Drosophila melanogaster: one gene and its partner. The protein of the gene in region 1 purifies or fractionates together with the protein of each later gene. This does not show direct contact. Each region holds a gene or a part of one and is shown on either strand. Other genes may lie near its edges.

What was found.
Region 2: the proteins of Tob (region 1) and orb purify together in Drosophila melanogaster (affinity purification with western blotting, with the first as the bait; one study listed by BioGRID). This does not show direct contact.

The regions. Positions count from the first base shown.
Region 1 is NC_004354.4:16,088,264-16,093,540, reverse strand, and holds the start of Tob (transducer of ERBB2), read left to right. Parts: upstream 1-2,045; 5' UTR 2,046-2,394; intron 2,395-4,173; exon of another isoform or gene 4,174-4,280; intron 4,281-5,277.
Region 2 is NT_033777.3:23,277,545-23,282,719, reverse strand, and holds the start of orb (oo18 RNA-binding protein), read left to right. Parts: upstream 1-1,863; 5' UTR 1,864-2,289; intron 2,290-3,161; 5' UTR 3,162-3,643; coding exon 3,644-3,661; intron 3,662-5,175. Other genes in the region: Cdc16 (cell division cycle 16), read right to left, coding at 1-36, 106-363, 423-705, 760-1,270, 1,334-1,429.

The DNA of each region.
Region 1 (5,277 bases):
AAATCAAAATTAAATGTAAATCCCACTTAAGTTAAATGTGAGCGATGTCTTTGTATAACATTGGTTCCTCCCATTGAAGGGTGTTATTTCTTCTACAAAGTTCCAGCTCAACCTAAGAGACAGACCCATCCAAGTCCGTCAATAAAGCAAAATCAATTTCCTTTCAACGAGTTTATCAATAATCCTTTTGAAACATTAAATTTCGCTACAAATTATGTATTGATATATACATAAATATATATATTTGTGATACCTATACTAATATTTTTTTTTAGTCTAGAAAAATAAATTATTGTACCATATTAGGTATTCCTGGAAAGCCAATTTAAAAAAAAGAAATCCTATAAAACTGATAAAAATCGAAAATGTAAAGGAAATCCATATTTTTGTATGCATGTTCGTTCAAAATCTAAGCGTATATATTAATAAATGTATAAATGTGTACCCCAAATGTTTTGCGATGAAATAAATAAAAATCCTTCAATTTCATTTAGTACTTCTTTATCTACCAAACATTGAAAAGGTTTTCACCATTCTTGATTTAAATATTTGAAAAAAGGGAAAGTAAGAGTATCACAATATTTCTTACTATTCACGACGAATATACATGCACATACATATGTACATACACAGGTGTGACCTTTCACCTTTTTGTTCGAGCTAGGTCCACTCTAATGTACATATACATATTACCTCTGGGTGTATGTACGCATATGTTACGTGCTCATGCACTTTCATTTCTTGTCCCAGTTTTCGGAAAAGGGAAAAGGGGGGGAGGGGTCCGAGCCAAAGCCCAAAGAGAGCGACTCGTTTTGTCGGCCAGAGTGGTGGAAGAGGAGGAGGAGGGGGGGGGCTGTACTAAAACTGTGCCACGGAAGGATATGCACTCATTGCGCAAGCCCTTCTAGGCTCGATTTTACTACGAGCACAACCAACACACGCCCACACACTCCTCCAATCGTCCAGTCACGCGCAAAATTATTCAGGGCATCCGAGCGATGTAAAAGCAAGGTGAAGTTTAAATACCTTAACAATCGCAAATCCATATTGAGAACTATCAAAATAACTAATATTTACTTAGCTAGGATTTCCACAAAGTAGGCATTATGATTTCACACGATGATCTTATGAGGTTTAGTTACTATTAATATATAACATAACTTTTTCAGAATATCATATTGATATTGCAAATTTAAGTTAGACTATGATTTATAAATAAACTATATTTAAAATGACTAAAATAAAACTACAACAAAGCAAGAAAGTAAAAGTTTTCAAAAGCTTTAAACTGATATTTTAAATATTTCAATCCTAACTTGCTTTTAACTAAAGTATATCATGTTTATGTCGACACTTTTCCCAAACCAATATGGGATGTATATATTTACATCGGTTGCTAAATTGAAGGTAACAAATTTTAGTCATATTACCACCTTTTCGGATATAATTTTGTCCAGGGAAAAGCACCCACACAAAAATATGATGAGTGCAAGCAGTGCTGCCAATTTTTTTCAAGAACAATTTTTTTTTTTGCCAGTCGAATCTCATATACCCTTGCAGTAAATATAAATTTAAAAAACTGGTCTATAAAAAAGTCAAAACAATTTATCAAAACAAAAATTGATTAAAAACAACAAAACTATGATTTCTTGTTTAATATTTTCAATTATATTTCCGTCTGTTTGGTGTTGGGCTCTTGGACAGTTAGAATTACCGGTGCCCGCTTAAATATTTATTTTATTTTAAGCAATCCACCATAGACGGGAAAAAAGCTAAATTGACAACCGTGGGTGCAAGTACCAGACAGAGAGAGAGAGATAGGGAGAGGGAAAGAGAGAGGAAGAGAGAGAGTGGGAAGCCGAACCGAGTTTAGAACATTTAGCTTCGTGAGTGATTCGTGCGTAGTGCCGAATAAGACCAACACGGTGGTGAAGGTGGGGGTGCTGGTGCCGAAGTGTGCGTGTGCACTTGTTTGTTGTTGGTTCACTGAGGCCCGTTCGCGCGTCAATTCAGTCTCAGTTACTAAACCGATTTCAAGAACTACGGACGCTTCGCTCGGCCCTTGCTAAGTGGCGTGTGCTACAATTAAGTAACGGGCAGAGACATTTCACAACAACAACAAAAAATAGGAAAATAGAATACAACAAGAAATACAAAACCAAAAACCATCAAAATCCCAATAAAACCAAACCACATTAAACAAGAAAATAATAAATAGACATCCGAGCACATATACCCACGCAAAAGTAAAACAATAGCATACTAGTTGGTACAACTGGGGTATTTTATACATAACTCGCTAAATCCTTCGTTTAATACAACGACCACCAGGAGGAAACAACCAAAAACTACAGTAAATCGGAAACAAGAAATAACCATCAGCAAACTGCACCGGTAGTTAAAAAAAAAAAACAAATAAATGTTGAATTACAATTTTTTATCTATTTTGTTCGAAAAAAATATTGCAATATATTTGTGTACTTGTGTGTGCTGTGCAAAAATTGAGAAAGCAGCGAACTATCCCCCACTACACATACATCTATCTAGCCCCCACAGAAAATACAATAACAATGATTGTGATATAAAAAAAAAAAGAAACGAAAAAAAAAGAAAACAAAAAAGGAGATGGAGCATCGCTTCTCTCACTTTCGCTCGGCTGTTTTCATACTTCTTGTTTTGTTGTCGTTAGTTATGGCGCTCACTAGAGCACTGGGCTTTTCAGCGCCGAAAGGGACAGCTGTTCTTCAATAAATTTGGGTAGAGAGAGAGCTCGACTCCAGGGAACGAACTATAACTCCCTTTCCTATGCATTCAAACTTTCGTAGCTCAAAAGATGAAAGAGCAAACCGAAGGGTGCACAAGATTTGAATACCCAAAGCTTTTACAGTAGGGTACTTTAGTTGGCTTGAGCTCAGATTATTAAATACTATATATGGATATTGATTTGTTAAGAAGTTTGATGTAAATACAAATCGATCTATCTTAATCTAGCATATCCCAATTTGTTGTCGTAATTCGTGCTTAAAAGCTATAGCTAGCAGCTGATATTTGCGTTAGCAAGCTCCAAATACAGTACGCATTCTTTAACTTGACCATTTCACAATTCTGTTCAATAAATAATTCAGAGTACATGTCGATACCTCATGTTATCAGTGTTATGAAAATTTCATCCCACTATATATAACTTTGACACCTCTGAAAATGTTCGTGCTAGACAGGTTCCACTGTACTTTCTGCACAGTCTTCTATAGTTGTGTTGCACAACAAAAGACGAATTTTATAATAGTACATGTGTGCGATTTCATTTGCGCAAGCTTTTGTTTTTTTTTTATTTATTTATTCATCTGAAACAACATCGATGATTCGATAGCAATTGTTGCAAGTTTGAGAGCATAGTGACCACCGACTGCAGCTGCTTTTGCATTTCTGCCAAAGAACGAATGAAATGAAATAATTTTCGACCAAACCAAAAAACGAACTTGTGCCAGACAAATACTATCGCGTCAGAAGACCATCATTTGGCATTTTGTCGCGGTGTTCGTCGCAAGCTTATTGTATCTACTTGCATGCATACAGGGAAAAAATAGTATTCAAAAAAAAAAAAAAAAAAATTATATTGTGTACTGTACACACTCAAATGTGTATTGTATAGACAGACATTCCGGCATGGCAGTGTATTTGTCATTTCAATTTTCGTGTGTGCTCAGATAAACGAACGAGAATCATGTGCCTAATATTGTTTTTTTTTTTTTTATTTGTTGTTTGCTGTTGTGAGGTAAAATGTCCCAACATCTTACGAACAGCTGACTGTGTTTATGTGTCCTCATATGATTATGTTGCGTTATGCTTCAAATTTTGGCAAGTGAAGTGCATGGGTGAACATAAAAAAAAATAATAATAATACAGCAACAAAATTAAGAGGAAGTGAGAAAATGCCAATAGTTCAGGCACACAAACTCATACGCAGTTTGTCGGTCGGTCAGCTGTTTTGTGTTGTCTTGAGCACCAGGGTCTCTCATTTTTCTATTTTTTTTTTCTTGTTGTTCCCCCACTCTCTATCTCTCTTTTCCTCTCTCTCTCTCTATCTCTCTCTCGCCGTTGAAATTATACCCCTGCGCCAGTCGGGGAAAAATTAGAGCAACGCTTGCTCCACAACGCTCGATAAAACTGCGGGAAAGAAGGCTGCAAAGCAATAACTAAAAATAATTTGTGATGATCTTGTAAATTGAAGTACTGCACAATGTCTACAATCCACAAGTTTCGAATGCACAATATAACGTGTGAGTGTGATTTTACCACTAAGCGCTGCAAGGAAATTCCCCTAAAGCTGGTTATGCAATGTATTGAAAATCGTAGAGCATTTCTCTTTTGTTTGTTGTCGATAAAAATATACCTATCTAGTGCGATACAATTCAGCGCGCAGTAAACATTGAGTCCAGCCAGATCTTTATATATGTACATATGTATGTACATATCCCCACATTGGCTTTATGTAATGGGGCCCGGTAATTACTTCGCTCGGTCACATTTTCGTTTAGATTGGGCACTTCAGACCCTTCAGTTGCAGTGGTAATCAATTCAACGGCATTAATTACACTCTGCTATGCAAAATATGAATGCAAATCGAATGGGGAAAAAAACAAAATATAAAACAAATGTAAAATACGATTGTGAGCACAACATTAGCATAAACCCTACCAAAATTACAATTACATTCAAGAGAAACTGTTAATCTCGAAGTTAATCGAAAATACGCTAATTCCTATGTACCTATGTCTGTATTTAGTTACTTGAAATGGACATCTGTACAAAAACGAACACAGCCTCTCACAACATTTTCCTTGGAGAAACCACCTGTATTAGAACCTAAATAAAAAACAGATGATTATAAAATATACAGCTGTATGAGCGTTTGTGTAACCTCATCTAATTATCTTCAAACAAGCAAGCTGATTTCCTTTAGCAAATAGTCGTACTTTAAATACCCTTTGTTACCTATTTCGCAGACACGCAAATTGAAAGCTTAACTTAATTGATTCCAATTTCGCTAATTTGAAGACAAAAGCGTAGTCATAAACGAATTGTGCTGTGTAAATAAAAACAAAACTACTTACACTCAAAACAAAAGTTTAAGATGCAATTTTGTTATACGTTCTTTTTAATTCCACTAATTAATGCTTCTAACAATTTGTATATATCAATAAATATGCGATGAACTGCAGAAAATATGCAACTAAAAAATGTTTTAAAATAAGATTTAAAGATTTCTGACTGCAT
Region 2 (5,175 bases), on another chromosome or scaffold:
AGTGCAGTGTTATGAAAGGGATCCACCTTAAGGAGTCTATATATGATAAGCAAAACCAAATACATTTTTGATCAATATAAGTCTTTTACGCCGTTCTTCACTTACTCATTGAGTATTTTCAGGCACTGTTTGTAGTCGCAGTCGTAGAAACACTTCTCCGCCTCAGCGGCCATTAGGTCAGTACTACGTTGTACCCGATCAAGACATTCAGCGATAGGAATTAATGTGTCCGTGTCATGATCACGCGATCGCCTCCTACTGGATGAGTCAAACATGGACCGGTGAGAAGCATCAATGAGGGAAGAAGCCTTTGAGAGACTAGTTTGTAGGGAAAATGTGGGCGCCTTTAGATCTTCCAGGACTCTTAAAGATACAACTTCAATAAGAATGCGCTAAATATTAGAAATATCAGGAGAACTGACTTCTGTGCGGGCGACATGAACTGGCTGGGCGTAAGCGGCACCTTGACGGCGCTCACCTTGGGCATTTGTGTGTCTGACGACCCGCTCTGCTGCACTCGAGCTGTAAATTCCTTGATAAACTGGAGTATGTCAGGATTAACAATGGGGGACATCTCCTCAGCATTGCGTGCGGAAATCAACTCGTAGTACTTCTTCAGGCGAGATTCATAAAGTTTTAGTATAAACTTGGCATCAGCTTCGCTGGATTGTTGTGCCAGCGGTAAATGATGCATTAGCTCAAACTCTGCAATGATTAAGTTGAGATTATACTGTATTCAGAAAGTAGGTGCATGCTCACCTTCCCAAGCCATCAGCATTTCGTGTTGAACCAGCGCCTCCAGGGCCTCAAAGCAGTATATGGATTTGTGAAGGGCCTGAACATAGAAGTCCATTGCCATGCCGCGATTGTCCAGGGCCTCATAAACTTTGCCCTTCATTAGGTAAATGGATGAGAGCAGTTCATTTCTGTGATTCTCCTCGCCACCAAAGACACTGTTGCTTTCCAGATAGCAGCCACTGCTTGCATCAACGGGCTGGTTGATCAGCGATGTGGTCATGACTTCCACCTCCACATTCTGGATGACATTGGCCGCCTCGGTAAACTCCTTGGCCGCATAGAGACTTTCCAGTAGTAGGTTAAAACATGGCAGTGAATTCTTCTCTAGCTTGTGATGCTGTATTGTGTGAGCAGCACGATGGTATTCCCCCAGTAGGTACATGCACTGCGCCTGGTAGTAAATATCCCTGGGTTCCAGGCCACCAAGCACGGCCACCTTTTCTGCCCAAAAAAGCGCTGTGGAGTAGCGACGCTAAAAATGCAATTGAATTTGCACTCAGGCTCTGCTTGCCGGCTTTTGGTTTTTTTGTCTTACCATGTCTATGAATTGTTTGACCAGCTGCCGGTACAAGGCCAGGTCGATGTGTTCATTGGTGGTGTCAGTGCTTGTGTTTTCCGTGTCCCCGGGCATTTTTATTAACGCAGAATTGTATTTTTGTTATAAATTTGATACAAGTTTTCCGCCGCTGGTAATAACTCATTTGAACATAGTGGCAACTCTGTGCAAAACAGCTGTATTGTTGCCATTCACTGGAAACAGTTGTTTACGCCAGTGAAAAAAATTTGGTTGCTGTTAATGCTTTACCAATAAGTAATAAAATTAATGGAAATATAAAAATTATTTTAAAACCAAAACTTTAAATGAAAATACAAATTAAATAAATTATTTAAATAGTTCAGCCATTTGTGCGAATTTTAATGACTGTTTCTTTTTTTGTCGAGGAATCGTCGAACACAAGTTGTTTCAAACAAATGAGCGCTTTTAAGTTCAAGAGAGCGGTTGCATGCGGTTGGTTCGACAGAGCCAGGCGAAAAAGGTTATTTAAGCAGCGTTGCACGCCGTGGCGTGGCCATAATATCAAAAAATCCCGACTAAAATTCCAAAATAAAAGATATCACGGGATGATAATTTAGTTTGTTCTATTAATTTGTATTGCCGCGGCAGGGTCCGCTCAAATTTAAGGCTCAATTTTAAATTCGAGTTAATGTGGTGCCATACCACAGTCGCAAAGATTTTCAACAATCAAAATAGTTTAATAGTAAAAAATGCGTCCGTGAGTGAGTAGTTTGGCGAAACAGCATCGGAAGGAGAAACGGAAAACGGCGAAGGGCGTGCAAAGCAGAAGTAACGGTTCCTGGCGGCGTGTGTGCGAGTGTGTGTAAAAATGTGCTTGGTGGACGACAAAAGAAACGGGATGCGATTGCAAGTGCGGAATTAAAATAAAATTCACACGAATTTATGCGCCATCCGCGTGTTTTTGCGAGTCCTGGGTATGTATTGGTGTATCAGTGTTAGCCGGCACTAGAAATTGTTGACCGAAAAATGGTGCAGTTCAAATTAGTTGGTAACAAGAAGGTGAAGAAAAACAGGGCAGCGGCTCATTTTTCGTTCTCTCATTCTCGACGTGCGTATTTTACAACTTTACAACTACACACTACTATTATGTGCCGTTGGTCCTGTTTTTTTTTCTGTTGCCTTTGGCTCACGTCATCTCTCCAAAAACTACGGCAATCAATCGCCGCCTTGGCCACACAGAGGAAATGAAGCTGGAATTGCGCGGGGTCTTAATTCGTTAATAAAATGTAAGGTGTGCACAATAATAGATTTTTGGATTGTCCGGTATCAATTGAAAAGAAATATGAATAACAGTGCAATTCATGAAAGTATAGCAATTTTTCTTTCTGTGTGCACACTTATTCTTACTACCCATTATTCTACGCACAGAGCGCGAGAGTGAGATGGAGAGAGTAGAGAAAGGGCGAGACAGGGCTTGGCCCCATCTCCATCTCCATTTTACAACTCCAACTTCGCTGCCACTGCTCATTTCATGCTGATTTATGGCTCTAATAATAGGTTCGCTCAACACACAGCTTCCGAAAGGATTACCACCCGAAAGGATAATGCATAGTTTGTGTTATTGGCGGCCATAAAAGCCCCCTTTAAAGTAAACGACCCTGGATTACAGTTAATTACAGTTAGCCGGGACAGTGTCATAGAGAGTAGGAGAGAGAGGGATACGCCTTGATCGATTTACGGCATTTAACGCTCAAGTGCGTACGCGTGTGTTTTCTTTAAACTCCACTGATTTGGAAACTACAAAGAAGAGTACTCTTATAATTAATTCATGCTTATGATATTTCAGGCCTTTGGAAATTTGCATCGTTGACGAGGCGGAATGAATCGATGACTATTTGCTGCTGATACGGCCACATCTGCCAGCTGTCTTGGTTCGCCTTCGCCCCTCTCGCTCGCTCAGTCGCGTTATCCTGTGGAGCTCCAATAAACAACAACAAAAACCAGATTCCTTGCCCGAGGCTCGGCATCCAATTCAAACTCCAACCAGATCCAACACGAACTTGGACTCGAACCGCAGCGAACTCCAACCGAAAGGCCTGCGCAGGAGTGAAAGAGAGAGGGCGAGAGAGACGGTGCGCGAACGGGCTCTCCGCCGGCAGTGGGAGTGGGAAAGGGAAGGTACGAGAGGCGGAAGTGGTGACATCTGTTTTGCCGCTTTGTCAGTTGGCGGATGCTGCTCCTGCCGAACACGAACGAACGCGAACGAGCACGAACGAACAAGGAGCGCAACGTGAACAAGTGTGGAAATTGGAATTTTTATTCAAAACAATGCCCCTGCTGCAACAGGTATGTAAATAATAATAAAACCCATTCGCACTCCAGAGCGGTAATTGAAACGCTCACGTACGAATAAAGTCGGCTAGAGAGAAAGAGGGAGAGAGAGAACGACCGAGCGAGTGAGAGAGCTCTACATCAGCTGGCTTTTTCAGTTCATCTTCCCAATTGGGATTCGTGAGTGGCTGGCCCGGGATGATCCTAATAAGATTAGTGCCCAACTTTACGCCTACACTTCTGAGAGTTTTTCAAACCACCCCACCACCCACTGAAACAGCCCCATCCGCCAACGTCTGTTGCACATTATGAGTAGTTAAATTCGATTAAACTTGCGGCGTTTTCTGCGCCAGACACCACTGCGCCTCCTTTTCGTCCTTTTTGCCGCCGGGTGGGCTTTTAATTGTACTCTTTGTTGCGCAAAATAGTTGCGTGATTTAATTTTGCTCGCCTTTATATGTTTTTTAATTCACTTAAATGAGATGATTCGATTAGGACACTGAGCGGTACAGAAAAAGCGCAGAGAGCAAATGGAAGCATTGGAATAGCGGATAAAAAACAGAGCTAAAGTTGTTGGGCACGCTTTACAACTGCCATTAGTATCCAGATTTTTATGTCTTTAAAGATTCGTAAAAGTTTGTCTAATAATCTTAAAACTCCAGTGACAGTACAAGCAGACAGCTATTAGCCTCTTATGGCTCAAAATATTACATGTCCCTTCCTGAGTTTTTCTTTATCCTCTGGAAAATTAATTATCCTGCCTGACAATCCGCTTCATATCAATACACATCAAAATTATGTCAGTTGCGGCAATTGCCCTTCACCCCCAAATGTGAATTACATGTAATGATTACAATATCCTTTATGCTGATACGCACATGCTAACCAACCCGACGACTCGGCTCATGCCCCCGCCGACCCCAGACTTGATTTAAGCGATCCTAAAGCGACTGTCAATATGTGTGACAGGTTTTTTAAGACGCTTTCCCTCCTCGGCGGAGCACTTGGTCCCATTGTTGGCTACGCGGCCCGTTTGTATCCTTGCCACGTCTTCCGCCTTTGGAAAAAGTTGCTCATTGTCGACTGTGACAGGAGACCCGGACCCGTCTATTGCTCATCATTCAGGCATTTGACGACAGACGACGCACAGGGGTTGAGGAAAAGCCGCCTTGACTACGTCAATGGATTGGGGATGGCTTTCAAAGAGGCGGAGATGGAAACAGAGGTGGAGGATGAAGGATGGAGGTTGGTTCTGTGCTGCATCCATGGCCCGAGTTGGCTGACAATGGAGCTGCGCATTTGTTACAATGTTTACACAAATATTTAAGGATAATCCGACGATTTCAAAGGGGTTATTATGCAATTTTTCTTCTCATTTTATTGTGGCTGCCAGCGGCGGCAGCAAAATGGTAGAAAAAAAAGATCAAAATATAGACCCAACTGAATAACTAAATGCAAAATGTCAATTTCGTCGTGTAAGCAGTGTCTATACCCCCCCCCCCCTTCCCTTGCCGTATTGCTATACATTC